Linked DNA regions of Drosophila melanogaster. Changing the gene in region 3 together with the main gene of any one other region gives a genetic interaction. Each region holds a gene or a part of one and is shown on either strand. Other genes may lie near its edges. The genes, in order: stan, so, gish and dgo.

The links.
Region 1: of gish (region 3) and stan, changing one enhances a phenotype caused by changing the other (phenotypic enhancement), as found in Drosophila melanogaster (one study listed by BioGRID).
Region 2: of gish (region 3) and so, changing one enhances a phenotype caused by changing the other (phenotypic enhancement), as found in Drosophila melanogaster (one study listed by BioGRID).
Region 4: of gish (region 3) and dgo, changing one enhances a phenotype caused by changing the other (phenotypic enhancement), as found in Drosophila melanogaster (one study listed by BioGRID).

What each region holds. Positions count from the first base shown.
Region 1 is NT_033778.4:10,670,051-10,677,858, reverse strand, and holds the start of stan (starry night), read right to left. Parts: upstream 4,515-7,808; 5' UTR 3,890-4,514; intron 1-3,889. UniProt on the Drosophila melanogaster protein: Involved in the fz signaling pathway that controls wing tissue polarity. Also mediates homophilic cell adhesion. May play a role in initiating prehair morphogenesis. May play a critical role in tissue polarity and in formation of normal dendrite fields.
Region 2 is NT_033778.4:7,416,252-7,424,005, reverse strand, and holds the start of so (sine oculis), read right to left. Parts: upstream 4,657-7,754; 5' UTR 4,008-4,656; intron 1,511-4,007; exon of another isoform or gene 1,175-1,510; intron 1,108-1,174; exon of another isoform or gene 1,012-1,107; intron 1-1,011. UniProt on the Drosophila melanogaster protein: Required for visual system development. May transcriptionally regulate genes necessary for optic lobe invagination and Bolwig's nerve formation.
Region 3 is NT_033777.3:16,269,568-16,277,281, reverse strand, and holds the start of gish (gilgamesh), read right to left. Parts: upstream 4,282-7,714; 5' UTR 3,952-4,281; intron 3,131-3,951; 5' UTR 2,139-3,130; coding exon 2,113-2,138; intron 1-2,112. Other genes in the region: Mat89Ba (maternal transcript 89Ba), read left to right, coding at 4,948-4,986, 5,043-6,421, 6,475-6,585, 6,642-7,714.
Region 4 is NT_033778.4:10,813,827-10,823,136, forward strand, and holds dgo (diego), read right to left. Parts: upstream 6,059-9,310; 5' UTR 5,466-6,058; intron 5,278-5,465; 5' UTR 5,275-5,277; coding exon 5,215-5,274; intron 5,149-5,214; coding exon 4,723-5,148; intron 4,668-4,722; coding exon 2,370-4,667; 3' UTR 2,211-2,369; downstream 1-2,210. Other genes in the region: CG7222 (uncharacterized protein), read left to right, coding at 251-388, 457-765, 1,048-1,136, 1,203-1,284; Prosbeta5 (proteasome beta5 subunit), read left to right, coding at 6,247-6,393, 6,456-7,157; Lsm10, read right to left, coding at 7,359-7,784; RpS15Ab (ribosomal protein S15Ab), read left to right, coding at 7,987-8,379; CG12343 (uncharacterized protein), read right to left, coding at 8,757-9,310.

The DNA.
Region 1 (7,808 bases), on a different chromosome or scaffold from region 3:
CCTATAAACCGATTAAATAAATTCTCGCCTATTCATTTCACAGTTTGGCCCAAATAGCAATTGCAGAATAAATACCTTTAATTAATAGATTATTTACAAAAGTTTAGCTGCAATGCAATCAATATATCCGCACTTTTAAGGTAATTATGTTGCATTGTAATAGTTTTACTCAGAATAATGAGAACTTAATTTTCAGGTGGTAGACAATTAAACTTGCTAATCAATTTACGTTTGATAACTAATCTTCAATCGGCGTATTAATTTGCCACATACATATATCGAATTTGAATTGAAGGCAAAGAGTTCCGTCCCAATTTAAAGTGACTTATTCTTCCTAATGAGAAGCACAACGTCATTCACTTAATTTGACAGCCCGATCTGCCCGGCGGCCTCCATACGTGCATCCGCCCACCCAAATTGATAAGTCTAATTAATGCAATTGAAACAAATTTCTAGCATGCAAATCGACGGCACGGCACACATCTCTGGGCTCCCTGGCGTTTGGGCATACTCTGGATGCTTGGACATGCCTCATTAGCCAAAGTGCCACAAACTTTGGCTCCTCTAATTGAATTAACACTAATGAGGTCTCTCGCACACTCTCGAACTTCTGAATCACCCGATGCCGAGCTTGCCGATCCCGATTCCAGCGACGTGTGAATTCCTATTCCCCATCTGCAAGGGAATGGAACATCCTTTTTGCCACATTATTCATGCATTTGCCAACCGCAACCCAAAAACCACCCGCTCTACTTGACGTGATAGTGAATTTAGCAAAAACTAAAAACATCGTTTGGGGGGGGGGGGGGGCGGATGCGCCTGATGTGCAGGGCTGTCAATCAATCAATTTGGGCATCCAGCCATGGACAGGGTTGCCACCACACCGCTTCGGTTGCTTTGAACATGCGAGATTTTAGTTTGCCAACGGCCAAACAAGCTGTAATTTCATCGAGCAAGGACACTAAATTCCAGATTCTAATTGACGCATAAATATGGTAAATTCAATTTGTTTAGTTCATACAACTTCTGAAAGCCGGCATTTTATTAAATATAAATTAAATTCATTTTATTTCATGTTTTTAAGACATGGTCTTTCGAGTAAACAAAATAAACGTAAGTCAATATGGAATATAACAAGGCATTAAGCTTTTGCAGTTCAAACTTAGATATTTCATTGAAAGAAAACAATTTCACATAATATTTTTCCTGGGCATTGCGTTGATAGTTGATAGATAGCTTTTCGGAGCTAAGTAAATATTTAATTGGTATATGCTTTCACAGCCAGCATTCATAATTCATTTCGTGTATTAGACTTTTCCACCTGTTGAGCATCCGAAATACAATTATTAACGAAACCAAATCAATATCTAATTTCAACGGAGGAGCCCAGAGAAACATAGCCAACCAAATGCCATCAATCATGCGATAGACGCCGCATGACATAACCTATCCAGCTGCGTCTGGATTTGCTTCCATCTGTATTTGTATATGTAAATGTATCTGACTGTTTTTTTTTTCGGCTGTATCTACGGACCACTGCTGCCGTATAAAACTGAACCGTACGTGTGTATATGCATCAATTAAGCTTTTATTCTAACATAACAATTTTGAATGTGGCCGAAACCAGTTTTGAGTGCGCGACCAAGAGGGCCGATGCCTACGCAGAAGTATCTCATGGATAGCCGTGTGAGTAGTGGCCAAGAGAGGCCACCATAAACCCACAAAAGATACCGAAAAATGTGGACCATCAACGTCATCAATGAATCTCTGGTGTGTGCACACGAATTCGTCCAACTCCATGCCATGCAAATCTCATTTGGCCATTGGCCCTCTGATTCTGTAATAAATTCCACAATAGACTGTTGATATTTTGATGGACTCAAGCCGGTCACAAATCAGCCACATTAACTGGCACGAGACAGCATTCAAATGTTAATTAATCAAGAGTCATAACGAGTTTTCCTATGCCGGCATGGATATCGAATGGATTGACTGAGGTTAGTTCGCCGTGCGAGTTGGCTATTCGCAGTGAATGTGGCATCAGAAGCCGGAAAAAATCACCTTTTTCGTTGGCTCCTTGGCCAACTGAAGTCTTAACTGATCACTTCGAACTCAAAAAAACAAAAAACATAACCAATGAAAAACAGGTTGCGGCTACCGAAGAAGAAGAGGATGCGTTCTGGTCAGGATGATGGCCCGTAGCGGATCTGCCTGCCGGTGGTGGATTGCTCCTAACCTGGCCGAGACAGCTGCAAAACCGCGAAGAGAGCCAGGCGCTAACAAACTCATTTTAAGCACGGTAAAATATTTTATTTACCTACTTTTTCTTAAATTTTATTCAAGTAATTCCTCTACTACAACTTAATCTTTATATCCGCAATTATTTGATTTCAAATATAAATGGATTAAACTCATTCTACACATATTTCAAGAAAACAGCCTATTGTAAAAATTAAAGGATAACACCTTAAGCCTTTAACTCTTAATATTAATCGTCTTATAAAATATAATAGAACGACATTTGATGTTTTTGTGTGTAACTAAACTTGGATCACATAATTAACCTAAGTAAATAACTTTTTTTTCTCTGCACCAGCCGCAAGAAGAATGGGAAAAGGTTGGTAACACGCCGAGAAAGAGAGACAGAGAGAGCTAGAGAGAGGCAGGGAGAAAGGGGTCGAACGAGGAGCAGTAGCAGAAAACCAGTCTTACAACAATTTTTCAGCTACTTGCCACTGGCAGGCTCAAAATGGACTTGACTTGACTCTTCCAATTGCACCAAACACACCGCATTCCAACTAGAAAATCATAAAACATAAATGTGCGAGAGTATCTGGCCCCCATCGAAATATAACAAAGGCCCTGTTAATGGCCTCGAAAATAAAATCTATCTTAATAAATTGGCAATCCGACAAAACTGAGTCGAGTGAATAATGTATCCAGCAGATAAGTTTGTCCCGGCCTGCTGAAATATTTATGCGCCAGACAAAGGGCGCAGAAACAAAGATACAAACGCAATGGCAAAGGCAAAATCCCATGGACAAGTGTGAAATGCAGGGAAAACAAAGCACTTGCAACGCTCAGATACAGATACATTTGTATCTCGTGCAGGCATTTGATTCCACGATTCCCCGATTCCGATTTCGGTTATGTTTTGACCCAACTCTTCTCCTTTCTCTCCTCGCGCTCTCCGCGTTTTTGACCCACGTTTTAATGTGACTTTTATTGTGCTTCCTCCTTTTGTTGTCTCATTTGGTATTCAGTTTAATGTTTGTTTAGAGCTTCGCGTTTGTATCTTTTTGCGATGGCTCTGAACTTTAACAGTTGCACTGTGTGAGCGTCGGACTTCGACTTCGACTTCGGCCATCGGCCAACTGTTTGGGCCAACTGCTAATTGGAGATGGCCAAGAAAGAGGCCTTAGGTTTAAAGGCCCAATTGGAGCTCTATTTTATTGCCGAAGCCCTAGAGCTGAAAGCCGTTAATTAAGAACGTCTTAAATCGAAACATTTCAGAGGTAGCCAGAACCACTAAGCGTCTTTCCATATCATATAACAAATAAAGGTTCTAGCAATATTTCATACAGGCCCCCATTTATATGCAGATACAAAATACTTTTCTAGAGCTTATAACCCTTTGAAAATATGAATTACGCGATTCCGCTATGGCGTAAGCCCTTAAATACGAAGTTTATCTAAGAGATTTAAGGCCACGCCTGCGGAACATATAGTGTCCTGTTGGAACGACACCTGTCATACGTCATGAATCAGGTGTCATGCGTCGCACAATTCCCATTAGAATGCAGCCGCATCCCGCCCACAAGGACATATGTATATGCGCGAGCACATGCACATATCCTTGATATATCCTGGCTGGAACGTGTGAACTTACAGGCTTTTGTTTGCTCTGCCGCTGAATTTCCACGCGTGGGTGGCCAATAATCCGCTTTAGCTGCACGGCTGCATTGTTAAATATTTATAATATTGCATTTAAAATCGCGCATCCGTGTTGTTTCCTCTGCGTGAATCTTGTGTTTGTATTATTAACACAATATATTATAATTAGCACTCGCCAGTTTGTGTGACTGGCCTCACTCTAGAGCACTGTTTAAACTGATTTAACTATTTTGATTCCGGGAAATTCGAATAATTCGAATGCTAAACCGACTATAACCCCGACCGTTAAGCTGGGCGGCTAAAAAAAGGGGGTGGTTGTTGGAAAAGCCAACGCACTTTTCTGAAAACAGCAGGCGAAGAAAAGACCGCGCGCTAAAATTCACTGAGAGCGAGGATTGTTGTATGTTGTGTTGGCGAAAAACCGGTAATTTCGACCGTCGAAGTTGTTACTTTGGGTTTGCGTTTACCTCTGCCTTTTGGCTTTGCACTTGCCTTTGCATTTGTCTTTGCTTTTGACTTTGCAGAGACGCGCACGCGTAGCCCCGAGTGAAAAATAATACCGTTCTTGCTGGCCAAACGCTCAAAACGCGTCCAATCGGTCCGGAGTCGCAGTGGTAACTGGCAAAACCAGAAACAGAAACTGAGTTTCTTGCTAAAACTCAGTTGGAAGCCGAAGCGAGTTCGTGTATCCGATGGATACTTTCGTCGGTGGTGGATTTTCTGCGGGGGGTGACTGCGTGTTGCAGCAACATTGCCGCGACTGTTGCAACATGTTGCGGCAGCAGAGAGAGGTGCCACCAAATTTCGGTTTGCATCCCCGAGCATAAAAACGTGCAATTTGATCCAGGATTCTTCAACCTGTAGGATATTCAATCTTTGGAAACTTCGAAAGTCTTTTTCTTATCAGTAAATTAGTTTTGCAGCACGCTTTGCATGCTCAAAGATTTAAATCGACTCAATTTATTAAATGTGATATTTATATAATTTTACTACTATTTATTAAATAAATGTTAAATAAATGTGTTATCTGTGCATCGGGCCAACACCTGTAATCGGAATTAGTTTGCGAATCTAAAGATGGTGGAACATTATCCCTTACGGGTAAAACTTGAACATAAAATTGCTAACTTATAAATTTACATGTGGTGTATTCATTTGTTAATATTAATAAATAATATTCCATATAGCCTAGTTTTTGTGTCCCACCAATAATAATTCATTTTCTGTTGAACGCCTTGGTTTGAAAACTAAATAAACAAACAAACATATTATTTGGCATAATTAAGCGATAGTCTAAATCAACGCAATTTATGTTCAGAAACATAATATGCTAAAAGTTCACTGTCAAAACCAAAAATGTAGTACACCATTAAAACCGACCAAATGACCGTTTTCCATGTTATGATGAGGTTCAAGTGTCAAGAGCTGTTAAGTGAATAGTTTCAATTACGAAGCCATTAGGGATGAATCATTATTCCAATTGGGATCTATACATAGGTATGCCAGAAATTCGCATGTTCCTGCTTGCCATTCGATTAGATTTCAGTTTATCGAATTATGCAAAATATTTAATGCAATTTTGGTTGGCAGAATTCGGCAGCAGTGATAAACATATGCTGGGACCCAGAAACCGAACAAGCTTTTGGCCCACAAGGACAACAGTCGTGGGTAATGGCTACGCTGGTAGATGTATGTATGTGTCGGCGGAATTTATAGCTTACAGGAAGGTGTTGGCCAAGACATCGTCGTTTGGCCAACAACTCGCATTTGGCCAGCTGACGTGGTCCGAATACTTCCGAATAGCAACGAATCGAAGGGATTTTGGGAGGAATCGAAGGAATAGGAGAATAGGAGACCGAAATGGGGGTTTCTTGCATGTAATTGACATTGGCCCCTTGCGTTTGATTAATTGCATTTGGTTGAGGCTCTTCCAAGCCATTGACTCGGAATGCTCTGAATTCCCCCATTGATCTGTATCCGTGTCTATGTAACCTTGTGGCCATGTGTAGCTAGCTGCATCCGTAATCTGTAACCGTTTCAATTTGTATCTGTGTGCTTTTTGCGGGGCAATAAATTCGACATGTTCGACATGCTTTCCAATTACTGAGCGCTGGCATTAAACAAATGCAGCACACTTGACACACGTCGAAAGCCGGCAGCCCTTTTCGGAGATCGGAGTTGGAAGATGGGTTATCAGGAGGGAACAAGGCCAAACCTCCACGATTCAGCGTGTCCAGCCAAGCAGGCCAAACACTTGGAAAAATATCACTTCGAGGAATTTTGTTTAAATAAGCAAAGTCCGATTTTTGTATTCAATATAAATAAACAATCTGAGAGTAGTAAAAAAATATGTAAAATGCACTCAACGTATCAGCGTCTTCTTGTTTATGTGGCACATTTTTGTTTGGATTGAGTGGCTATCCATCCATAGTGTCCACATCTTTCTCTCTCTGCAGGACGAAGACACTTGTCTCTGCATTTGGTTTATGCAAGTGCCGCCTGCGAGCGATATAAAAACGCAGGAAGGGGAGGAAGGCGAAGGGGTTTTGCTGCCGCTTCACTGAACCTCAATGTGCGCAAGGATGAGATGGGAGGTTGGTTAGTGGGCGTAGAGGTCAGGGTGTTCAGTGGGTGGCGCTGAGTGGGGGGGGGGTTGGGGGCGTGTGGGATCGGAAGAAACATAACTCAACAATGCAAAGGACGAGCAGCGGGCAAAAAGCGCAAAGCAAGCCAAGGAGCCACAGGCTGCATCTTCAGAAGGAGCAATTTGAGCGTTCTTTCGCTCGACAAACGCTGCCCATGCATAGTTTATGATCCCCCCTCTCATATCTATGCATTTTGCTGAATTAAACCAACTGCACAGAATGTCGCAGATAATTCAATGCACCTACCTACACACAGCACAGTTTTATGGCTCTCATTGTCATCCCCGTTCTCGTCCTCGCAGCGTTATCCTGCAATGTGGAGGAGTCGAAAAGTGCCACGAGGGTAATTTAAAAATCCATTTGTGTTTTGAGATTTCGCCGGCAGGACCTGGGAGATGTAAGCTGGCCAACAATTGCGGTTAGCGGTGTGTAGAAAAAAATACGGGAAAAAAAATGAATGAAATAGGAAAAGGCATGCTGGAAAATTGGCGAGTGCGGAAAATGGAAAATGCGAACGTCAAATGCCCGACTTGACTGCGTGACACAATTTCAATTTGCATTGACAGCATGAATTATAGCAAATAATCCCCGCCGGCAAATGCGATTTTAGTGATGCCAGGAGCTTCAGTTTTCCAGCTATCCAACTTGCCAGTTTCCCAGTTCTTTCCGACCCAGGTCAAGCTATTTTCCTGGGAGCAGGGAGCCGGGAATTCGAGGTCCATCTGTTATTGATATGGAAATGATGCGCACACCAAAAATAGAATGCCGCTCGAGGAAAAACAAGCAATCTTGCAAAAATAAAGCAAAGCAAAGGACGCGACTCGAAATGAAATAAAATAAAACAGCGGCAATAAAAGCAAATATAATTTAAATTTTATGCAACGGCAAGGAAAGTTAATTTTGCCCAACAGAATGGGGAAAAAAACGCAAAAAAAAGGGGGGGCAGATAGCTACTGGAAAAGAAAGAGAAATAGAAAAATAGAAAAGAAATTGTGAAAATTGTGGAGAGAGCTAATGAGGAGAAAGCCAAAAGCACAAATATGAGTGGACGATAGATAACCAAAAATTCTCCTAAAATGGCAATTTAAGCTTAAATTTCACAAGTATTTTACCCAAAGTGAACGAAAATCGTTAAACATTCAATACATCCAAATGCGATGATCTAACTTTGAAACCAAATTAATTTATGCATAGCGAGTGGCGCAATCCTGCAAAATTTTCTCAAGATTATTTTTTTGACAGCACAGAGCTCCGAAAATTATACTACGC
Region 2 (7,754 bases), on a different chromosome or scaffold from region 3:
ACATTCTGCGTTTAGTAATTAGCCCCCTAGTATTCATCTTTTTATTACCCCGCTCGATTAATATTTAAACAGCTCTCTAATTGAGACACATTAGGCTGTGAAAATCACCATTGAATGGCAAGTGATTCGAACAAATGCCAAACAAAACAAGCGCGTCTGCATGAGTTTGCCATATTCATAAGCATTAGAGATCCAAATTCAAATCCAAATTGAAATCGAAATCAAAACAGAAGTGTACAGTACAGTGGAGAACCTCGATCCGACCCCATGTTGTCAAACATGATTAACCGAGTCCGGGGGCAATTATTAATGCGGCATGTTCGATGCTCGATAATCGGAAATACGGCTGGCCATTGCCATCGTGGAGCTCTCTAACCTGTCCGCACCCAACCGACCAAGAGATCTCTTACGAAAATAAACTCTTTACACAATATAGTACGTGTATATGGGGCGCATGGTGTTTCGGTATTCCTCCGATTTCACATTTCACATTTCCCATTTCACATTTCTGTATTCGGTTCTAAGAATATTTCTAAAATTACCAGGCGGCAGCGACGACGACGACCATGCCTCCGCCGCCATCGCGAGGGAGTGAGCGAGAGGCGCGAACGTATCCCCCAGATAGAATATCTATGAGGTATAGACGATGTTTTCACATTTCAAAACAATGCAATCGATCTGTCCGAATAAACTGATATATGTAGATATATCAGCCACAGATATCTGCGTATCTAGGCCCCTCCCCCCCCCCCCCCACAAAAGCTAAAGCTAAAGATCGGGCTATATGCACACTGATTCTCGTGTATCGGAGTCGAGATATTCTTGGATCTGCTTTCGGTTTCAGTTCTCGTGTGTGCCGGCCAGATTATATATACAAAAAAACAAGGAACAAGAAACAAGAAAATAGAGATTCGTTCTGGCTGCCGCTGTAACGAAAATACCAACGCCAAGTTGGCTGCTCTTGAGTCATCGGCCTAGGCCAGATCCCCCGCAGCCGCCGCCTCGCCGAAGATTTCCATCGATTCGATTTCTTCAGCTCGCTGCGATTCTTCTTTCTCCGCTGCTTGTATTTTGTATTTTCGATGGCCTGTTTCATGTTTGACGCAAGTAAACAAGCAAAATGCGAACGTGAAACGCAATACGCGATAAATTTTCAATCTGTTTTGGCCAACAGCAATCCAGCAGTTCAGTTCACAAGTGGATAATATTCGATGGACACAATGCATTCTGGACATATTGCCGAACTATTAGAGCCGATTTACGCCTCATTCGATCGGATTCTGAGCTCTTCAGCCACATTGGACCATAGCATACTGGCATACCAAGGTTTATGGCCCTGTACCGTTGCACGATCCCAAGTGGAAGTGGAAGTCCCTGCCCCAAAACGAAGAAGAACACCAGCAGCTACGACAGCAGCGGCCTCGAAAGATATTCTATCTGTATCTTTTGGCTGCCTCTTCAGTTCGCCTTGTGGGAGATCTGTTATCGCGCGCCTGTAGCTGCCTGACTTTTGTGGCATTCGAATAAAATTAATTTAATTTATTTTACAAATTCTGTAATTTATTATCTATTGGTTTCTGTTTCTGTATCGTGTTTGCCCCATTCCCCTTCCCCTGTGCTTCTTCCTACTTTTATAAGATTTTAATTTGAATGTCGTGGAATCCCTGGAAATCTGAAAGCGGACACCTAACTCTATTGGGCTGTTAATCAAATTGAATTGTTCGAGCTGCCGTGGCTGCAAGCGTTGTTCGCCTAATTAGTTTGTAATCAAAGTCAGCTTACGATTGACTTGTTGATGGATTCGATTCAACTCGCAGGGCAGTTCCAAAGCCCTAAGTCCTAAGTGCACTTCGGGAACTCTGCAGGTGAAGTGTGCCCCAGCTCGAGGAGCACCCAGCTCAACTTGGAGCATGGTGCCATCGCAATCGCAAAAAGCACAAACAGTGCGCCTGTTTCTCGCGGCTAACACCGAAATCATCTGCTCCGGCGTCTGTGTTTATACAATGTAATCGAATGGGAATGGGATTGAGACTGTGACTGGGGATTGGGGATTGGGGATTGGGGATTGAGGACTGGGAAGACGTGTGCCATGCAACCTGTTGTGGGCCAGCCCCCGTTCCGGGTAATTCGAACGGCTTTCTGGCCGCTGGTCGGGATTAGTAAGCGCTGCTGCTGCCAAACGGTCGAGACAATCGCTGCTATCCGCCAGATACTATTTTTAACATTTTCCGTTTAATTGCCGCGTGAGGGAGCTACGCACAAAGAAATCGAATAGAGCGCGGCGCAATGAATGAAATTTGTCAATTTAATGGGTTGCACACACATGTGTCTCTGCCTCCGCAGCCGAATGTATCTGCATCTGCATGTCGGCTGCTTTTCGCCTTGCTGCGCCGCATTTGCCAAACTTTGAATGAAACTGAAGTGCACTGGTCGAAAGTCCCGCCGGTGGGGAGCTCGTCCCCAAATTACGACGGATTCTGCACGCCGGTGCGTAAAATGATCAAAGCTGCTGCGGCCAAACTTGCGTATCTGTATCTGTTTCTGCCCGAGTCCCGAATCTAGGCGAATGGAATGCGCAAATTTGTCAATTTGGCCACTTCCGAGATGGAATCCACATGGCTGGTATCTTGATGATCCGAAATAGGCAACCAGAACCGTACGCAACATCTGCTCCCATCTCTGCACTCAATTAATCATTCGACTTCTGACGACAAACACGCGTTGGCCAATTCGTTTAAACGCTCCCAATCCCCCGAATATCGCAAATATCGAATTTAGCCGGACAAAAGTGGGTCCACGCCCACTCATCCTCACACGAAGTACAAAAGTTGTCGGCCAAACAGTCGCTATAGTTAATAATTTCATAAATTTTGTGGCGAGAAACGAAATGATAAAGCCAAATGGTTTCATAAATAAACACTGTGTGCGTTGGTTTCGAGCACCAAACGGTTGGAAAGCCTTTGCGATGAATGAATGACAACTGGAAACTACTTTTCCTTTGGATCAAATCCATCTCATATCTTTTCCTCTAATTAATAAATACATCTGAGGTGGGTGGGCCGTTGAGTAGCCAACTTGGAAACGTGGAAAACTTAGAAAAAAATTGAGCGGTGAATAAAACAACAGAATTTTTCTTTTGGTGTGTAAACAAGTTTCCTTTCCAAATATAAGTGAACATGCAATTCCCGTGCTTTTGCCTTCGTTTCGATTCCCTCAGAATTGCTTCTCAAGTGCCTCGAGTTGGTTTTCCGATGGCTTTTGGCCATTTGGAATTCGCCAATGCCACGCCGCCAAAAAGCGAAGTGCACTTTGGCTCTCAGCTCTCCTCATTGAAATCGGCAAAACGTTGTGAATCTATGGACTTCGATGATAGATTGATCCATTAGAAAGCGGATAGAGATACGCCGTGACATTTATGGACTGCATTAATGTTTTCGCTGCACACGCTTTAAAGGCTATTTAAAGCACTAAAATATATTTTTAAATGAAGTCTTCAAATAGGCAAAGTGATTGATACTTTCTCAGAGAACTTTAGGCTTTTCTAATCAAGAATAACGCTTTGCTGTAAGTTCCATTTTAACCGTATGGGATGTTTAATAAAAGGTCTATGTTCTATGATCTTATCTATAGGTGATAAGTGATTTCTTGAACATGTGGTTAGTTCTTCTAAGGCTTAGTTTGACCTATTGAAATTATTATTTTTCTGAAACTTTTGTATATATTTATGGTTTTATAATTTTAAGGTTCCAATATGGAAATGTATAATCTAATATTAGCTATATTTATTCACATAATCGTCCCGAAATTTATCATAGTTATTATATCTCCTTTTTCAAGTATCAATGCCAATTTTATTTTAAATTAATCCCCCATATACCATTCGTTTTTCTTATTGTGAAAGAATATCCGTCCTACTTATGCATCTACATATATTTTTGCCATGGTTTCTAGTGTTCCACAGTAAACTTTTGCCGTCGGCAGCATGAAAACTGAATCTCGCTGCTCACCTGTATTTTGATTATTTATTGTTGATACGTATCCGAGTTTGTTAGTTTTTGTTTGTTACTCTTTGTTTGGGTTTGTGCCTTTTGCCTTGGCTTTCCGATTCGACTTGTGCTATATCCGCAAATGTTAGAGTTGGCCAAGAAGGCGCTGATTTCGGCTGTGCGGCATTTCCTTGATTTGCATTTTGGCCAAACTCTTCAAATCGAAGCCATGTGCCGTTCGCGCACGCACACACTCTTAGTCGCGATCACACTGGGCACTAACTAACACAAGCTTGCCGTTGAATATTGCTCATACGCACTGTGCGAACACGTGTTGCAAATTACTTTTCGCGAAAACTTCGCTGTCCTGCGCGACTCGGACAAATTGCACCTGCAAATTTGGTGGGCAAAGCTGCGACGACAGCACTGAGGCAGTGCCAACAAAAAATGGCCGCCCGCGGATTGATTAGCTCAATTTTGCTCGCTTTTCTCTCGCTTCGTGTGCGTTTATGTGGCGCGATACTGATGCGTTCATTCAGGAAACACGCAAATTAAATATAACTTTGTGCGCGGGACGTCAAAAGACCGCCGGATCCGGCCTGGATTACTAAGCGAGCGACGTGGGTAGAACGGGCAGCGAACCGCACGCGACGGAATCTCGAAAACAACTGAGAACTCTCCGGTTCTCAAACCTAATCGAACCGAAAACGGCCGAGACAAAAGGCAGAAAATGGTTGGTGCCGCTGGCGGTGTGCGTGCGCCAGAGCGAGATGGCCGACTGGTCGTGCGAGTGTGTGAGTGAGCGAACACCAAGGGGGTGAACTGCACAGTGGGATGCACCGACACTTTGTGCGTCACTTTCCAAAAACGTTATAGGAAAATAATGGAATCAAGTGAAGCGAGACTTACATTCACTGACTTTTATAAAGTCACTGGGCACACACAGTTCATGATTACACATATATGAACTGATGATAACTCAGAATTCACTACGTTTTAGTTGTTTTCAATATCTTGCCTTTACAAGTGTTTTTATTTTTATTCTATTTTATTTTATTGTATTCTAATGTTTTCGTAGTAAGACATAGTACATTTTTCCGTTATTATATGCTATTGTATCTTCAAAACATTAGAAAATGGTTTTATATATTTTTAAAGTGGCTTACAATTAAGTTAAGTTAAGTTAAGTTAATTGGACAAATATTTTTATAAACGTGTAGCCATTGAATTTGACACACGGTGCCAATCGACAACAGTTTGACAGCCACTGCGAGAGGGGCAGCGTGCGAAAGAGCGAGAGAGCGCATAAACAGGTTGACCGAAAGAACGCCCCCTCGGCTTACCTGTTCGCACACACACACACACACACACACACACATAGATGCCCTCACGCACACCGGCGCACTGGAGGACAGCAACGTGCTGATTGGTCAGCGGAAACGCATGCCAGCAAAAAGGCATGCGCATTGGGCGCCATATTGAAAGGCGGAAATCGGAGGTGATTGCAACTGCATCGCTGCTCCTCCCCAGGAACTCCTCATCCTGGCTGAAAGGATGCCCGGTGCAATAGCTGCCATCCTACAATGCCGTTTGAATTACTCACCGCAATAGTTCCATGCATCTCTCGTATAATTGCAATTACTGGCCTTTTCTCATATTCATTCACTCCACTTTTTTGGTTTAACTCAACCTTGTGGTCCTTCCACATTAGTGCGGTTTGCATTGTATTATTTAATGATTCCGAAGGAGATGAAGCCGTTTGGTAATTGAAGCCAACTAATTGTGTTAATGATTTACTAATATATTTAGTTTACTAAATATTTACTATATACACAGGCTCCTTTCGTCTTCAAGTCCTTGTTCATGATAACTGAAATAACTTGAACCTAATTTAATTTCAAACTATTAACATGATCTAGAGACACCTGTACAAAGTGCAGCGATGCGTTCAGAATGCCTAACTTTCTTTTTGAATACAAATAGTCAACTTAAATCACAGAGTACTACACTGCTTAGTGAATTTTGTAGATGGTAATTAATGTAATTAATGTAAATTAATGTAATTAATGTAATGTAACGCTAAATGTATAGAAATTAGTCAAAGTACCTGTTGTTGGAGGAACCGCTTAGACAAATGGTATTATTTTCAGCACTTCTTTATTAAAATTCTGTCCCATTTATCGGTAGCTCGATCTCAGCGTGTGCCGTGAAAATCGCATCGAGGACCACCCAAAATGCAAATTCGGAAACGGAGCTGGGAAACTCGATCGAAATCCAACAAAGATGATGGACTAATGGGGCGCCAGGCCGGTGCACCTAATCAAGATCGGCAACTGCCCACACAGATCAGATGCCAAGTGAAGATCCATACCGCTGGCGATTTCAGTATCGTTTACAGCGATCGATAAGGTTTTGGCGCCAGGCCTCGACAGTCACCGATAGCCAAAATAAGTGTTAAAAAAATTAGGAAATCGTAAAATTTACATAATAACAGATCATATTTCAATCGAATTAGAAAGACAGACGGCAACGACAACAGTTGGGAATGCCAGAGGGACCAGAAAACACATAAAGATGGCCATAAAACAAAGTTGGATGGAGAGGCAGCGATACGGGATGCCACAAAATGTTAATGAAAAAGTGCGATAAAAATCTTGTCCAACATGAATGAGAAAAACGAGGCAAGCAGCCCAACAACAATGCAGCGATCAACACCACGTTCTGCGGTTCGAGATGACCCCCGCCTCCTCGGAGAAAGGGATGGAGAAAGTCATCTGTCTGATGGGGGGCCCTACAAGCCCGAATGCCCCGAACTCCATTATTGGTGTTAAGAATGAAGACAATAACGAGGCTGGCACACGCGCCCCTAAACTCTCCGCCGGACACCTGCTGTGCGGACCAAACAATGAGCCTCCTCCTCCTCCTCCGATGACGATCCCTCCACTCTTCCACCGGACCCGGTGCGCCTCACTCCTCACTCCACACTTCAGACTCCAGGCGCCCGAGGAGCCGGGCTGGGTTATGGGGCAACACTGCCGCTTATTAGAAATGGTAAACAAACAGTCAGATCGTGTTGAACTTTATGGTCCTCCATGCCGGATCGTGCGCACATTGTTAATCATCTGGAAGTGGCCATAAAGCAGGCTCCTTCACTGGCCATTATTAATTCGCTTGAAATTATTATTAATTTTGCGCCATAAATCTCGACACTGCGTGAATCGAAGACCTTTTGTGGTACGTGTGGGTAATTAGCTTTCAGTTCGTCGGGATTAGTTGCTCATTTGCTGGGCTAATCATCAATTTGGGGCGATGATACTCCGTTAGTATCTGGACTCAATAATATATTTCAAATTTTCTGTTGCTTTGTATTGAAAAGCATAAGGTTGCATTTTTCCTGATAAATAAAATAAATAAAAAAGGAATTCATTAAAAAGTCCAATCGAAATCTATAAAAATCAAGGGAAAAATCCTTATGTAAATTTTTTGGGATACTTACATGTGTTCCTAAATTTTGAAAGACACTGAGTTGGATGATTTTGACGAGCAATTAATCTCTGTTATTTGAATCACCTTTTACCATTTAATAACAGAGTAGATTCCATTATTATTTCCATATATTTTTGTTTATATCTATAGTAGGTATTAAATATTCTCAATTTCTAATAGCTAACCGCAATACTTTGTTTAAAGTTTTAATGAAAGGCACTTATATTTAGGGAACTTATTTTATAGTTTATATTTTTTACGTTTATTTACTTTTCAAGCCTA
Region 3 (7,714 bases):
AAAATAATAACTAGAGATTCTTTGCTTCGTAATTTCGACTATAAGGCTGATTAATTTAAAACTATATTTTACCTATTTTAGCATAATTATGGCAGGCGTCCTTAACATAATTTAAAATCATGTTTAAATATATGTTGATACTAAACCAACAACGCTAGTTCGTGCTGTACGAATGACTGGTGGCAAGACTGGCGTGGCCTACGTTATGTTGGTTTTGTTCTCGTTTTTAACTGAGAATTTAGGTTATCCCCGTCGCCCCTGCACCATTCACTTGTCATAATAGCTCGGCTATTAAATAATAAAAAGTAATACAAAAAGTTTGTTTTTTATTACATTCGCTGTCTCCAACTAAAATGTGTGGAAATGTGAATATCTAGATGGGTGTGAGTAAGTTTGTTTTGTTGGCTAGCAACAAAATTACGTTAGTTTAGCTGGGTTAGTTGCTTTCCGTTTTCTTGTATTATGTACCGCCGGTGGAGTGGAAAATAAATGTTGTAACATGATTTTTTTTTTTTTTGCTTTTTCATACATTTTGTTGAGTAAACGTTAAAGAGAAAAGGCTCAATCACCACCAGTTGTGACCTAACCTAAATCTATTAAAACGGGTCATGAAACAGTTTTAATTTCACAGAACAACATTCAAGGTTCGCAGGACCAGAATCTACGTCTTCTGACTTCCCAGTTCTGCTTTTCTTATATAACTCCCAGAGGTCAACTAGAATCCCCGATAAAGGGTGCTACTGAAGTCCCCGGTTTCTTACCCATCTTGATGAGCGACAAGCAAACAAGTGCTTTGTGTGAGTATATATAGCTGGAAGACCCGAAAATGCAGACAGCAAACATTGGGAAGACCCAATGGCAAACATATGCGCGTACGTATGTATAAAGAACTATAAAAAACAAAAACAGAGATACACAGACACAGGAAGACTTCGGCCCAACAAGAACCTAGAAATGTCAATAAGCGAACACGAGGTAAAATCGTCAGCAACGAAAGCTTTGGACCCACATTCAAGGCTAAAAAGGCGGCTCTTCCGTCGGCCTGACACAAGGAGGCCGATCGACTGAAATGCCTATAAAATATTTATAATGTGCGTGAGTTGTGTGCACTTCGTTTCCCGCTCTCCTACACGAAAGACCGGTGCTATCTATCACGCACCCACATATGTATGTATGTGGGTATTATGTATTGCATTGGAAACCCATTTCATTCACCCCCTTCTCATGGCTCTTCTTCTTAGTTTGGCTGGCGTGCCAGAGGCGAGAAAAAGCAGACGCCATAAGCCAAAAGCAACAAAAACACTTGCGAAAATAAAATAAAATCAAACACACAAGTTTAAATAGAAACATCTCTTTGCTAAAAATAAAATCGTTCGGCAAAAAAGGCAGCTACAACTAAATCTGTTGCTTGAACTTTTGACAATGTACAGTATTCGCTAGGAAATTAAAAGGAATTAGCTTTATGGAAATTTATTTATGTTAAACGAAATAAAATTATTTTAAACCAGACTCATTTTCTTTAAAAATTCGCAGTTTGCATTCGTTAATATTTTAAAAAGTTTTATGAGTGAAAGAAAAGCTAGTTCTATTGGTTAACTAAGCCAACCAAATCAAAACTGTTAGGTTTTAAAACTTGCAAACACGCGTTTCCCGACACAGCCATAATCTTATCGCTATCAAAATATCCAACCGCTTCTACGCCTGATAACAGTGTACTGTAGTACCGAATATGGAACATTTATGAGAACAGACGTCGCTTCCGTAGATAGTGGCAATGGTTTTTTAGCACGGCTTATCAATGCAAAATTATAAATAGTCGCAAGCCTATGGTCTCTAGTCAAAATTTGAGTACCGCTTGGAGTTGGAAGGTATAGCTAAGGGGCGTACAAAAGATTCAGATTCAAAAGCAGGGATAAAGCCAGTGGGCTAGATTCGCTTATCTTGATTTTCGATTGACAATAGAAAACTATAAATGGGTTTCAATACTGTAGCCAAAAGCAATGCCAACTTAAATGGTAGGATTAATTTTTAATTTTTGAAAGAGTCTTAGAACCATTACCTCTTTATGAATTTGGGGGATAATCGATATACAATTACACAATCATAACTCACCTTGCTTGCCGTTCTCGTCGCTGCATTTCGCCTAGCTAATCTCGCTTGAATTTTGATCGCTTTTCCGTAATTTTGATAATGATTTTTTTATCGACTGCCGCTGCTGCTTTTGTTTTTTTTTTTCCAACGTTGAGGCTGTTAATGTTGCTGACAGGCAACTGGTTTGATCCGAAATGCTGACTCTGTTTGACGAACAAACTGGAGGATCTGCAGGATCTGTGGGATGCGTGCGAATTGAGCGAATTATCCTCACCGCCCACACTCACACGCATTCGCGCACTCACTCACACTCACTTAGCGTCCGCGCATGTCGCGCATGCGAACAACACACACGGGAGATCCGTCGCTCTCTTTTGCTCTTTCCCCCGCTGGACGACAGGTGTGTGTACAGAGATTGCCTCTCTCCCTCTGTTCGCTAGCTTACAGTTATTCCAGTTGTTCCTTTTCCTTCTCTTTCTGCTGTTGTTGTTGTTGTTGCTATGGGGTCGTCGTTGTTTGACATCAAGTATGAAATTTGAGCAGCATCTCCTTGAAATTTCAGCTTTGGTGCTATACTTTCCGAATTTATTTTATGTTTTTGGTGAGCTGTGTGGTAGTTTAGTTATGTGTTCATATGTCAAAAGGCGGGCTATTTGTCGTAGGACTATTTTCCTATTGTTAATCGGCTTTAGGTTCCGGTGTAAATTAGCCAAGGCGAGTGTATCTATGTTGTTAAGAATTAAGGAAAACAGCCTCGTGCTACGCTGAACAACTATGTAAACAAATAATTTTGGCTAAACAATTTGACAAACACACTTTCGCACATTTTATCCAACAATTTTTGTGACAACAGATCTGAATCTCCGAATTCATTCAGATTGTTGCTATGATATTTTTCCTCCCAGTTTTTGATGACATTTTAGGCAAAAGGGACTATGTTGCTGTTTAAATATGTAGTTAAATTTCAATTAAGGGAAATTTAACCGGTCAGTATCACGCCTAAACTTTTAATGCTCACGATCGTGGAAATCAAAGCAATCTGAAAAATAAGAATGGAAAAGTTAAAGCAATTGTAAAAGAGCTGAATAAACAAAATTGTAAACGTAAAGATCGGTCTTAATTCCAAGCGCTTTGAATGTTTTGACGAAAGATCATGTTAACTGATACAAAATATAAAAAAACTCATATTACCGACGATTTAAACATTTTTCATTCTGTATGGATAATAAAAATAGTAAATAGACTAATGAATGTACGAAACTGCGGTATTTCTTTTGGTATGTTAGGCCAGCCATAGCGTATGCTGGTCACACTAAAAGCACTGATGAGAGCGCTAACTAAATTTGTTTTTTTTTTTCAATTGATTTTCATTTAATTTAGTAAGAGTTACTATTGACTTTAACTTAAAACTTTTAAAGTCATCGTCGCACAAATGAAAGTTACTCTCTTCTAAAAGGTACCAAATTAAAATTTAGAAAATTACAGAAAATTAGGCTAATTAGCTGCCATGGCCACCGCGCCGTATAAATTGTTGGAAAAATCTCTGGGGCCGCAAGGTCGAAGTAAATATTTCCGTACGTGATTTCGTTTATTTTTATAAATTTTCAAGTTTTGTTATTCGATGCAAAAAACGAGCCAAGGCGGCGATGGCCAAAGACCCAAAGAGAATAAGAGAGAGAAAACCAAGAAAGGCAGAGGGGCAAAGAGGCAGAGAGGGTGTAACTACTCGACTTTTGGCCATATTTTTTTCAATGGGCCTCCTTTCTGCCAACGCATCATTTTATAAGGTTTGCTTTGATCTTTACGGAATGAACGACTTGTGGGCTTTATTAATTAGGCAACTTTTAACTGCCGATTTACCTTTTATACAGTTTTGCACGCATTTTCATTACGCCTCATTTTTCACCCATACACTCTCACACGCACGCACGCACGCACAGACACAGTTACACACGTTCGGACCGAATATTGAAATTTGCAACTCGATTTGCTACTGTGCGCTCGTCGATTTCTGGATAACAACTTAGTTCACTACTTTTTATAAATTAAGCTGGGCTTGTGTTTAACTGATTTTCTACGAAACAATCCTCGAAAGACCAAAAAACGCACGCAAGAGAGCACGAGAAAAATGGTGCGATTTTTTCCCCTGCCTGCAAACACACACACACACGCTTATACATGGACAGAGACGGAGTAAGACCGTATAGAAAAACGAGGGAAATACTCTAGGCTGATTTAATGCTGATTACTGGTAAAAGAAAAATGGGATAATTTAATTAGCTTTTCCCGTTTATTTTAAACAGATACTTATATACTTGTGCTAAAGACAGAACTTACCTAAAGCCCTCTTTACATAAAAGATGTTTAAACATAATTATGAAATAAAAATACTGTTTAAAATACTGTTGCTGGCGAAACCAATTAGCCGGTAAATTTGTTTATCTACTCTTTAAAACTGTATAGGCCCACGGTAATATCTTTCGCGTTTAACTGATAATTTGTTTTTATAATATTATAAATTTTATCTTATTTATTGGTCCTGGATCCAAGGATTTCTCGGCAATTGGTATAGACATTTACACTTCACATTGTCTAAATTTGTAACTTATTCAACAACTGTGTACCATGCAATATATTTTGCTCTAATTTATTTAGTGTATAAAACCTTTTCAATATTTTAATTATAATTACGTTCGACACTGTTTTTGCGGCTGATTTGGGACTAAAAAACGAATCTGCCCAGTTCTAGGGTGACCATACAAAAACCTCTAATGAAATACCGAATTCTGAAATACCGCATCTGCAACACGTGCGAGTTTAGCTCTCTCTCCAACAAGTAAATAAATTTTATATTATATGCGATTTGTACAGGGAAACATCATGCCAGGAAAGTTGGTAAGATTGTCTAGATCTTTATGGAAACTATTTGGCCTATAACATACTTTGTTTAGGTGGGCTCTCCGAAGGGAGCTGCTCGAACAGGTACCCAAGCAATTGCACATGCCGGGGATCACAGCGACCTTGATGAACCAAAACCCAAAATCGCCAAGAGCGACCCACCATCCACTGCCATACCAAAGAAGAACAACTTCAAGCAGAGAGAAGGTACCAAGAATGTAAAGCCGCCCACTTTGGAGGAGATGAAGGAGCTACGAGACACCCAAAATCTCTTCCACTCCAATCTCTTTAAGCTTCAAGTTAAGGAAATGCTGGAGGAGCTGCAGTTAAAGCAGAAATACACAGATTTCATTGAAAACTGGCTTGAATCCTTTACGGCCTTTACCCGACAGCTAAAGGATGGCTTGATGGAGCGTACCCACTTGGAAGTTCCAATGAAGCTTTCTGAAAAGCCGACCGGATTTGTTTTCTCCAAGCCCACCAGGGAACCTTATCTGATCGGAGCCGCCGCCACGGGCACTTTGCTGGGTCCCAAAATTGTAGTGGATGTGGCCCTGGAGATGCCAAAAGAATCCCTGCACAAAGAAGATTACCTAAACCTTCGCTATGACCAGAAGCGAGCTTTGTATCTTACTTATGTGACGGAGAGGATGATGGAGTCCCCAGATTATGCAGAAGATCAGTTTAATTTCAACTACTATGCTAACAACCCGCTTAAGCCGGTTCTGGAATTGATCCCAGTTACTAAGCAAGTAAACAAGCACCTGCAAGTGCGTCTGTTCATCACTGCCCCATTAAGCAGTTTTAAGCCAGGCAGATTTGTTCCCTGGAACAACAATATTCGGCCCTCGTTTTACGGTGACGAATGGGACGAGAAAGATCCGCTGCCCTCCACCCAACACTACAACGCAAACGTACTGTTTGATCTAACTTTGTCCGAGAACCAGGCTCAATTGGATAAGGCCTTTAAGAGCAGGCGTAATTTTCAGGACGGCCTGCTGCTCCTTAAAGTATGGTTGCGTCAGAGGCAACTGGACATAGGTTACAGTGGGTTTGGTGCCCACATCTTAGCCGCTTTTATTGTGTACCTAAATACGCAGCGCATTCTGCATCAGTCAAGCAGCAGTTACCAAGTGGCACGCACTGTATGGAACCAACTGGCGAACACGGACTGGACGAAAGGCATTAGCCTGTCTGTTGCTCCCATTCAAACGGAAGAATTAAACAAGTTTGCCGAACACTATGACGTTTGCTTTATAGACTTCACTGGACAGCATAATCTATGCGCAAATATTCCGCTTTACCTGTATCAGAGAGTTCGAGAGGAGGCCAAACTGGCGGTGGAACTACTGAACGACATGAAGCTAAACAGTTTCCCGCTTATCTTTATGCAAAAGTGTCCACTGTACAGCAGGGTGGATAATATCTTAAAGTATGTGAAGCTAAAATGTTAGTTTTTCAATTATAAACTTTATTTTTCCCCAGGATTTCCAATTATTCATGCATAAATCAAATGCTTACACTGCATTCGCATCCTCGAATTAAGTACGATTTTGCTAATTATGGTTACCCGCAGCTGCTACATTTACTGACTGAGTGAGTTAACTAAGCTAAACAGGCAACTTACAAAGAAATAATAATCATAACTTTAGGCTCCTTAAAAAGGGACTTGCTGAACGTGTCCACTCCATACTACCCTTAGAAACTGCGACAGCCGCCTGGCCTGTGGAAAAAAAAGCGCCCGTTATTGGGAAGTATATTCAACTGGGCCTTATACTTCAGCCAGAGCACGCATACCAGGTGTTAAACAAAGGACCTGCTGCCAACGATGATCATGAGGGAGCTGAGGAATTCCGACGGTTCTGGGGAGAGAAATCAAACCTACGTCGGTTTCAGGATGGCAGCATCACAGAAGCTGTGGTTTGGGGGACCGCCCAGGATTCACCCGCCAAGAAGCGACTAATTGTTCGCCAGATTGTGCTGCATCTATTGGAGCATCACCTACAACTGGACAGCAAGGAAGTACAATACATTGGCGGCGAGTTGGACCAAGTCTACCAGCTGTCTCCTTGGTTTAAGGTCAATAAGCTAAAGACCAAGCTGCCATTGGGTCAAGATACCGACGCAGAGGCACTTAGTCCGCACGTCATCCGCTGCTATGATGAGTTGGCACGCCAACTACACGGGCTGAATGATCTTCCTCTAGAGATAGTCTCCATATCAGGCGTCTCGCCCATTTTCCGCTACTGCGAGCCGCAGCCCGTTCTCCCACAGGCGCTTCTGGTAGAAAACCGCATCCTGGCAAGCAGCATTCAGCGTGTGGTAATCCAGCTCGGGCAAAGCGGCAAGTGGCCCACTGAACTTGGTGCACTGCGTGCTCTTAAAACTGCATTTCTTATCGAAATTGGCGAAAAGTTGGAAGCGCAGTGCCGGCTTCATTGGGTGATGTCCGCCGACGGTCTGCTCGTACTCAAGCAAGGTTACTGCTTCCTTATAGAGCTGGCACACAACAAGGAGCTGGCGCTGCTGAAGCAGGAAGTTACTGAGCGTGGCATAACTACATATATAGACAATGCAGCCAGTCGTTCCTTAGAGCGTCAACATTATATTCTACCCAAAGTAAGTGGGGCTCTACATTCGCTTCATCAAACTTACAGCGCATTTGGTTCCACTGTGCTGTTGGCCAAGCGCTGGCTGGCCACACAACTGCTGGACGATGGCTTGT
Region 4 (9,310 bases), on a different chromosome or scaffold from region 3:
ACTGCATCCATATACGATATATGTATCTTACGCACTCGCGGCTATATACATATATATGCGGAATATATATGTATGTAAGCCGTCAATATGAGAATCGGTTGAAGTTAAGTCTTCATTTAAAGTGGCTATAGTACATATGTATATACACACTTTTAACCAGCATATGCTTGTGAATCGAGATTAATCAAAGGCCCTGCATTGCAGACTTCATATACTTCAAGCCCCACAAAACCAACGACGCATTTAATCAATGTTCTCCAACGGATTGCCGTGCAATCTGTCGTTTCCGAGCTGTCTCAGTGTACCAAAAGACGAGATCGGTAATGAAGAGCTACTGCCATCCAATATGGGTACTCGCGAGCCTGTTATACTCAATGTCTACGATATGGTAAGCTTACTTACTCCTGTTGCCCATGCGGACATCGCACAACGATAAATGTAACCTTGCATTTGCAGTACTGGATCAACGAGTACACCACCTCAATCGGCCTGGGCGTATTTCACTCCGGCGTAGAAGCCTTTGGCACCGAATTCGCATACGGCGGACATCCATTTCCGTTTACGGGGGTATTCGAGATCTCACCGAGGGATCACGACGAGTTGGGCGATCAGTTCCAGTTCCGGCAGAGCATCCAAATCGGCTGCACCGACTTTACGTACGAGGAGGTGCGACGTATCGTCGAGGAGCTGGGTAATCAGTTCCGTGGCGACCGATATCATCTCATGAACAACAATTGCAACCACTTCTCGGGCTCATTAACTCAGGTGAGACATAAATCGAGGAAACTTTCCACTGGGTGGATCCAATATCAAGCAATATTTTGGGTGTGCTTATGCATGATTCACCGATTGTCAGATACCGCCTGTTACAATCAGAAGTTCTTATTGTGAATCACCTCAAAAAGTAGGACAGATTACCATCCTAAACACGTCCAATACAATTAGATGCTTCCAAACGATTCGAGTTTAGGAGCAAGAAAATGCAAGCTTAAAAGCCCAAATGAATATTCATTTGACTATATCTGCAATTCCAATTACTCGTTCTAGATACTTTGCGGCCAAGAAATACCCAGCTGGGTCAATCGTCTAGCGCATTTCAGCTCCTGTGTGCCATTTCTACAAAGATGTTTGCCAAAGTAAGCCTTTCTAAGTGAAACAAAAGCCAAGTTCATGATTATTAACTACTCTATGTTGTTTTTTAGAGAATGGCTGACACCGAATGCCTTGCAGCAAAGCATTACCACAATCCAAGAGCGCGAAGACTCCGACAACAGTCCCCTTTGAGACGTTACCTGACCGAAAATATGTCACTTGGCGACACACAAGCGATCATAGTTCACATAAAACAACAGTCCTGAGACCAACATTGTTAAGTTACGCAGAGCAAAAAGCCGGGTTACTCATGTCACATCAATTTCCAAGCCAACAACGCCCCCTAAATAGAAAGCAACAACTATTATTAATAGACTTAAATTAGGCGATATACATATACATACTTACATAGAACAAACCTACATTGAGACATACTTATACATACATGCGAAGTGACTAAATTATTGGCTATTGTAATTTGTATTTGTAATATGACTATTCAGAATTAAGATATTATTAAGTGGCCGATAAATTTAAGTAGCAGGCGCCGTTCAGCAGCAGTGTCATTTATAGAATTTTAAATTAACTACGAAGACATCGAGAAATCATCATTAGGCACTTGCTAAAATTGTACTAACAATACCGCAGACATATTGGTGAACGATATCAAAATGTTGCCCAATTTACTTGTTTACTTTTGTCAGCGGTGGGGATTTGGTTTTTTTGAATTCCCACCAAACATCGGAGCTCGATTATTGAGATGATTTCCTGGTTGATTTCGTTTACACAATTATACAGAGTTCATAAGCCGCATGTCTATCAAAACACCAAAATGATCTGTTATCAATAAATATATGTACTTGACATTCTGATATTTACACATGCATAAATACTATTATTAAACATTTTTAAAGAAAAATATATTTTGATCGAAAACATTCGGTTGCGTTTGATTTACAAGCGAGCAGGTTGGAACGTTTTTAATATTTTGGGTATTTTTGGGGTCAAAAGTGGAATAACCAAATAATTAAGTACACGATATTCTCATAAATTACGCAGAATATGAAAACACTCAGACCCAAAACTCCTCAACAAAAAACAACAAAATTATTGTACATATATCTTTGTATTATATTTATATATTTTAGACCCTCCAGATTAGATGCATCAGTTGAAAATAAGTTAACTTTTCTTTGTAGTTTAAAACTTGATTACAATTAAGATAAATATGTAGGGATTAGCTATGTACAATGGGAACAGCTGTGGGATTACCGAACTCAAACTAGACTCGAGACATTGTTGTAGAGGCCAACGGCAGACAGCTCGTCCAGATCGATTTCATTGGATGGAAGATTGGGATGAGGCCAGTTCCTTGGCCTTTGATTAACATGGGGCGGCACAATGGCCTGAAAGGTGGGGGACTGCAGAGGCCTATAGGCTACCGCATCCACGTAGTCCACTTGTCTTGGTGGAGCATTTGGATGTGGAATCCTTCCCACGTAAAGATCTTCACTGCGATAGAGACTCGCATTTGGTACGTAGCCGGAGTGCAGCCTTCTCTGCGGAGTTTGCGGAATCGGTGGACGGTGGGGCAGTTCATGGAAGTAAGCATCTTTGGGTATGTGTCTCTCGGGCAGCCCAAACTGGGCGCTACTCCGGTGGGGAATACTATACGTGGGCGAAGGGTTCGAAGAGGTGCCCTCCAAGTGATGGAAGTTATTGTTCAAGCGGGAGTGTGATCTTGCGGCGATCACATGTGCCGTCTGGGAGTCCTGTCGATTGGAGTCAATGGTGTTTTGCAGTTGGGCCACCATATCCCTCACCTGACCAGCGTTCGGCTTCTTTAGGCACTTGATTTCACTGTTCCGAATCTCCACCTTACTCATACTTTCATTGCCATTTTGACGCACTTCTGTTTCCTCGGCGTACTCCATGATGGGATTGGAGTAAAATAAATTCGACATGACGGGATAGTTGTCTTCCAAGCAAAGAGGCTGCCGTTTCATCAGATTGGAGATACCTGCCGCCTCGCTCGCTTGCTCCTTGTAGAGCAGCTTGTCGCCTCCCATTCCCTCGGCAGTTTCATTGACAGCCGTCTCCTCTTTGCCCAGATCCGCGAAGGAGGCATCTTTTCGAAGCGCCTTGATCACCGAGTTCAGCATGTTCTCTCCTCTCCCAATGCGCTGGTAGTACTTATTGTAATCCGGGTGGGGATTGCTGCCCGTGGGTGATGCCTCCCAGTCCCAGCTGTTGGAGTTCTGGGAGGGATTTGAGGTCTCACTGGAGTTCGGATAGCGTCGTATCACGTTGGCGTACTCGTCGAAATTGGGACTATTAACACTCTCTTTATCTTCTCGAAGTTGGGCAGACTCCGCCCTTGGATGGGGATTATAAGGTGGCGATAAGGAAGAAAGCTGGCGCTTGCTCTCCTGTTCGCTGTCCCTTTCCATGATCAGGGTGGTTTTCTCTAAAAGCACTCCCAGTCTTTCGGAGACTTTTAGGAAATCTAGCTTAAGTTCATCTAGCTTCGAGTGCTCCTCTGGTTCCGCCTCTTCTTGCACCTGGTCCTTGTCACCCACTTCTGCCTCTTCTTCATCCCGAGCTTCATTGGAATCGTCATCGCTGTCGCTATCCACCTGGACCTCCGCTGATCGGTGTACTATAGCCTCCACTGCCTGATCTTCCAGGACATCTACACTCCGTGAGTTGGTGAGCCTACCACCTTCGTGGTTGTTTTCCAAGAGCTCTAGACTGCGGCACCTGGACATTGTTCTTTCGATCCTTGAGCTCTTGTTCTGCTGATCGAAGGTGGACCGCATAGGTTCACCTCGTCGCAGGAACTCACTGAGGTGCTGCCTCTTGCTCTCGCATCGCAATCTGTCCTCGATCATCGTTCTTGTGAGCTGTTCAATCTGATCGTTCGTCTTGATTGCCAATGCCTGAACTTTGTGACCTAGACGTTCCTTGGTTTTGTGAACGTATTTCTTCAAACTCTTTCGATTGCAATTTAGTTTGTTTTCAATGTGACGGAAGAAGGGACCGCAATAGCATGTGTTGCCCACGCTGACCGGACCCTTGTGAATATGACCAGCCAAATCCAGGAAGTATTGCTCCCCCGACTTAAGTGGCTCCTTGGGCAGTGTCTCCAGTTTTGGTGAAGGAAAGGCACGCGGATCGGGAAAGTAGTGACAGCCATAGGGTGACCAGTTGATACCCTTGTCCACCACATCCCTTTCACGATCTCTGTCCTTGTCCGATCTGCTGCCGCCCTCCTTGGGTTTCTCCTTGCGATTCCGTATCTTCTTCGGCGTGTTCAGGATCTCGATGATTTCACGGTAGTTCTTCCTGATCGCTATGTGCATGGGGCAGTCGCCTTGTGCGTTTTTAATGCCCAGCCGAGCATCTGCCTCTAGGAGAATCCTTGTCAGCTTCCTGCGACCCATGGCACAGGTGATGTGCAAAGCGGTGTCGCCGTTCAGATTTGTTTTATTCGGATCGCAAAGGGCGGAGAGCAGGATCCGGGAGACTCCTGCATGTCCATATCTGCAGGCGGTGTGCAGCGGAGTATCTCCATACTGAAATTGTTAAACATGTTAAACATGGTTATCACTGATATGATCCAACACTTACATTATTCCGGACATCGGGATCGGCGCCGGCCAGCAGTAGCTCCCTAGAGCTCTGATTGTGACCATTTTGAGCGGCCAAGTGCAGGGCGGACAACCCTTCGTTGTTGGCAATACCCAGGGCGCTATTGTGTAGGGCTTCGATGGTCTGGTGGGCCACCTTCACTCTGCCCTTGTTCTTATCCTTGTCTTTGTCCTTCTGTCCCTTTGCTGCTTTTCCCACCCCCGAGGAAGCGGGTGGCGTGGGGGGCGTGCAGATCAATTTCACGCAGCGACTGAACCCCCGACTGGCGGCCTCATGGAGCGGGGTATTCCCCTGCACGGATTCCCTGGCCAGTCGATCAGCATTGCTGAACAGGAGACCCTCCACCCGGCGATCATCTCCGGCGGCTACCGCCTCGTGCAGCGAAGTCCAATTGCTGGAGTCGGGCTTAAATCAGAAAAAGAAGTTACATCGGTGTAAGATTTGTTGGTTCAGGCAAGTGCCCTTACTTACCCCGGATATCGCATTCGGGAGAGCTTCCTGTTTCGGAATGCGGGAGGATCCATGCTGCATTGTCTGCGAAAATATTCATTATTTATCAAATTTGTTAAATTATAATTTCATTCATTTATCATGATGTGTTGCAATTATAACTTTTTAAGTAACACTTTATCAAAACCAGATAAAATTAAAAAAATTATTTATATTAGAACTACATTTTGTCTTTAATAAATGAAAAATCTTACTTAAAGTACCGTAATTACCGTTAGAATCGTTTATATGTCGAAAATCATATGAAAGATGGTATTCTTTGATATAACCTTGTTGACGACGAAAGAGCTTAACTTGACCTGGGATCAAATGAATCTGATCTTCGATCGCACATTTTCTAGCCGTGTATGCGCATGTATGTGTGCCTCACGTAATGGCGTACCACGTAGTAATTGTCATTACAAATAGAAGTGGGAGTTACCAAAAGCGATCAAATAAAGGACTCGTAATTTGAAATACAACCTTTTTGAGGGTAGATTAAATGTCTTTCATTATAACACATTGATAAAACATGTATGGTTTCTTAAATGTTCAACACTATTACAGTAAATTTCTAGACCTGAAAACCAGGTTTAAAGTGCGCCTAGGTTTTCTCGATTCCCGACTTACTTTTCACTAATTTTAAATCCCGTCTTTGGACCGCAATTTACGCATTGCAATTCGCCACTCTCACGTATTTACACATGTTTACTTTCGACTATTGTTCAGTACCCGACTTTGCAGTATTTGGCCATTGATGGATTGATGGAACGCCCAGAGTTAATTTGGCTTCAAGCCAGGCCTAAAAAGAGACTAAAAGAAAGCCAATCACAGGCAAAATTGGCAACAGGTTTCGAGCTGGGTTGCCGTACCTGCGACAGCTAACGGTGAAGCCGATAGTCTGCATTATTGCTCCAACAGAAGTACGGTCACTCTACAAGTAGGCAACGAATTTTGTTTGTCATCGGCATTTCGCATTCAACGTTTCCAATTGTTTTTTAAGGAGCTTTAAGAATGGCTTTAGCTGAAATCTGCAAGATATCGAATGCTCCGTACATGCGGCCCAATGCCTGGTCATCGGCGGATGTGGAGGAAGAGCAAAAAGGGCTTATGTGCAATCTGGCCAATCCCTACACACTGGCTGCTCCGCCATTCGAGAACGTATGTAGTTAATTAGCTGATCTTCTTGGGAAATTTACTAAAAAATTTGACAATTTCCTCAGCCCCTGCACAACCTTAATCAGATCCAGGCCAATGGCGACAAGACCGGCGTCAAAATCAACTTCGATCACGGCACCACAACGTTGGGCTTCAAGTTCAAGGGCGGCGTTCTCCTGGCAGTCGATTCCCGTGCCACGGGTGGATCGTACATTGGCTCCCAGTCGATGAAGAAGATCGTGGAGATCAATCAGTTCATGCTGGGCACCTTGGCCGGTGGCGCAGCCGATTGCGTTTACTGGGACAGGGTCCTTTCGAAGGAATGCCGCCTTCACGAGCTTCGAAACAAGGAACGCATCTCGGTGGCCGCCGCCAGCAAGATAATGGCCAACATTGCCCACGAATACAAGGGAATGGGTCTGAGCATGGGCATGATGCTGGCCGGTTACGATAAGCGTGGTCCAGGCCTCTACTATGTGGACTCCGAGGGATCTCGCACGCCTGGCAATTTGTTCTCTGTTGGTAGTGGATCGCTGTACGCCTACGGTGTCCTGGACTCTGGCTATCATTGGGACCTGGAGGACAAGGAGGCCCAGGAGCTGGGACGTCGCGCCATCTACCATGCCACCTTCAGGGATGCCTACTCCGGTGGTATCATTCGCGTGTATCACATTAAGGAGGACGGCTGGGTAAACATCTCCAACACCGACTGCATGGAGCTGCACTACATGTACCAGGAGCAGTTGAAGCAGCAGGCCGCTAAGTAGAGTTTTGATTAAGGGAATATAAGATATTCAGTTTGTATACGTTTGAATTTCTTGGAATAAATAAACGTGCTAGAGACTATGTTTTGTGTATAATTGATTGGGCTAATTTGTTTTGCTTTTCATAGGTTTATTACTATAAATGTAGTTGTATGTATGTAATGTATTTTTGGTAAATATAACAAGTACGCATATATTAATAGTTTAGGTTTCCTTATTCTTTTTTTGCTGTGAGATCATTTGCAATGTTTCCTTGTGTCGCACTTCCGCTCGTTTTTGCTTGAATGTCCGCTTTCCGCCCTTGGTTTCCACTCGCTTTCTTCGCAGGACTCCCCGTTCCATTGCGCTTCGAAGTTCCTGCTCGGCATCCAAGTACGAAGGTATGTGGATCTGCCGTATCATTCGATTCCGCACCATAAAGTGATCAAAGGGGTGCTGACCACCATTGCGATCGATGAAAACTGCATGGGTGAGCTCGCAGGTCATGTGTCCATCCGCTACATCGATGATTCCGGCCACAGAGGTCTCGTTGTGCAGATCGATCAGTACGGAATGACCCTGCAGCATCACGGGCCAACAATTTAAGGTGTTGGACACCAAATACTTCTCCCGCGCACTAAACTGCTGCATTATATCGATATGTTTAAAAATAAGTGTTTGCTCTTGGACACGGAGCTGCCAACTCGCTTCATAAGTAATTTGACATTTTCATTAATTAGTTTTGAACTACATCTAAGAGAAGTACTTACGGAAGTTTTCAAGTAAAGGTTTTTTCCCTTTTTCACGTTTGCGTGACGGTCGTGTAAAACAGTTTTGGCAAACAAATCCAGCTATGGTGCGTATGAACGTATTGGCCGATGCCCTGAAGTGCATAAACAACGCCGAGAAGCGTGGCAAGCGGCAGGTGCTGCTGCGTCCCTGCTCCAAGGTGATCATCAAGTTCCTGACCGTGATGATGAAGCATGGCTATATCGGCGAATTCGAGATCGTCGAGGATCACCGTGCCGGCAAGATCGTTGTCAACCTGACCGGTCGGCTAAACAAGTGCGGCGTCATCTCGCCCCGCTTCGATGCGCCCATCAACGACATCGAGAAGTGGACCAACAATCTGTTGCCCTCGCGTCAGTTTGGTTACGTTGTGCTCACCACCTCTGGCGGCATCATGGACCACGAGGAGGCTAGGAGAAAACATTTGGGAGGCAAAATTCTCGGCTTCTTCTTCTAGAGACACCAAGTTCACATCGTAGAGGGATGGAGTTTGATATGTAGATTGACGTTTTATTTCACCGACCATGCATCCAACTATGTACTTTGTGCACAGGAAACAAAGGGCGAAAACGCTACTACGTTCATTCAGAAAACAAACGACGATGAATGTTCACAAAGTTACGCGAAATAAAATGAAAAATTTGGACATCTAATATCGAAATAATGAGTTTACTTTTTAATCTTCCAGCTTCAACATTTCCTACGTTTAAACTTTTATGTGTAAACAATTGGACGATTGTGTGGTATTATAGGCGAATTTCATGTAAACTGCACTTGCAAAAATTATACGTGCACAAATTGAACTCTAATCTTAAGGGTAATAAAATACTAAACTTAAATAGCTGTTCCCCGCTCCAAATTTTGTTTGATCTCGGCTGTATGCTCGCTGTAGAAGCGGTCCAGCTTTTTGTTGAACTTGGAATTCCTCTCGTTGATGAAGTCCACATCCGCATCGTCGTTGTAGATCCTCCTGCGAGAGTACTTCTTGCGGCGCTCTATCTGCTGCTCCAGGTCTGTTACCATTTTGTTAATAGCACCTGGAGTGTCCTTCGTCCTCGAATGCAAAGTGGTGTGTGCTCCACCGTAGAAGGCGTCACCGAGTTCCTCCTTCTGGCGCTCGTACTTTTCCAAATCGCGAGCAGGCATACTCTTGACCAATCGGTTGTACTGTCTAGCTGTTTGAGCTTCGTATGTGGAGAAACCAAGATCTGGATTGTCTTTACGCTTCTTCTTTTTCTCAATGCGATCCGCATCCACAGCGGATACCTCCAAAAGCTTCAAACGCTCGTAATCCTTGCCAGCTGCCTGCGCCTCGGCTCGCGCCTTGTCGTCCGCTAGTATCCATTCCGCCTGTCGCTTGCGAGCCTCCCAGTTCTTGGGGAGCTTCT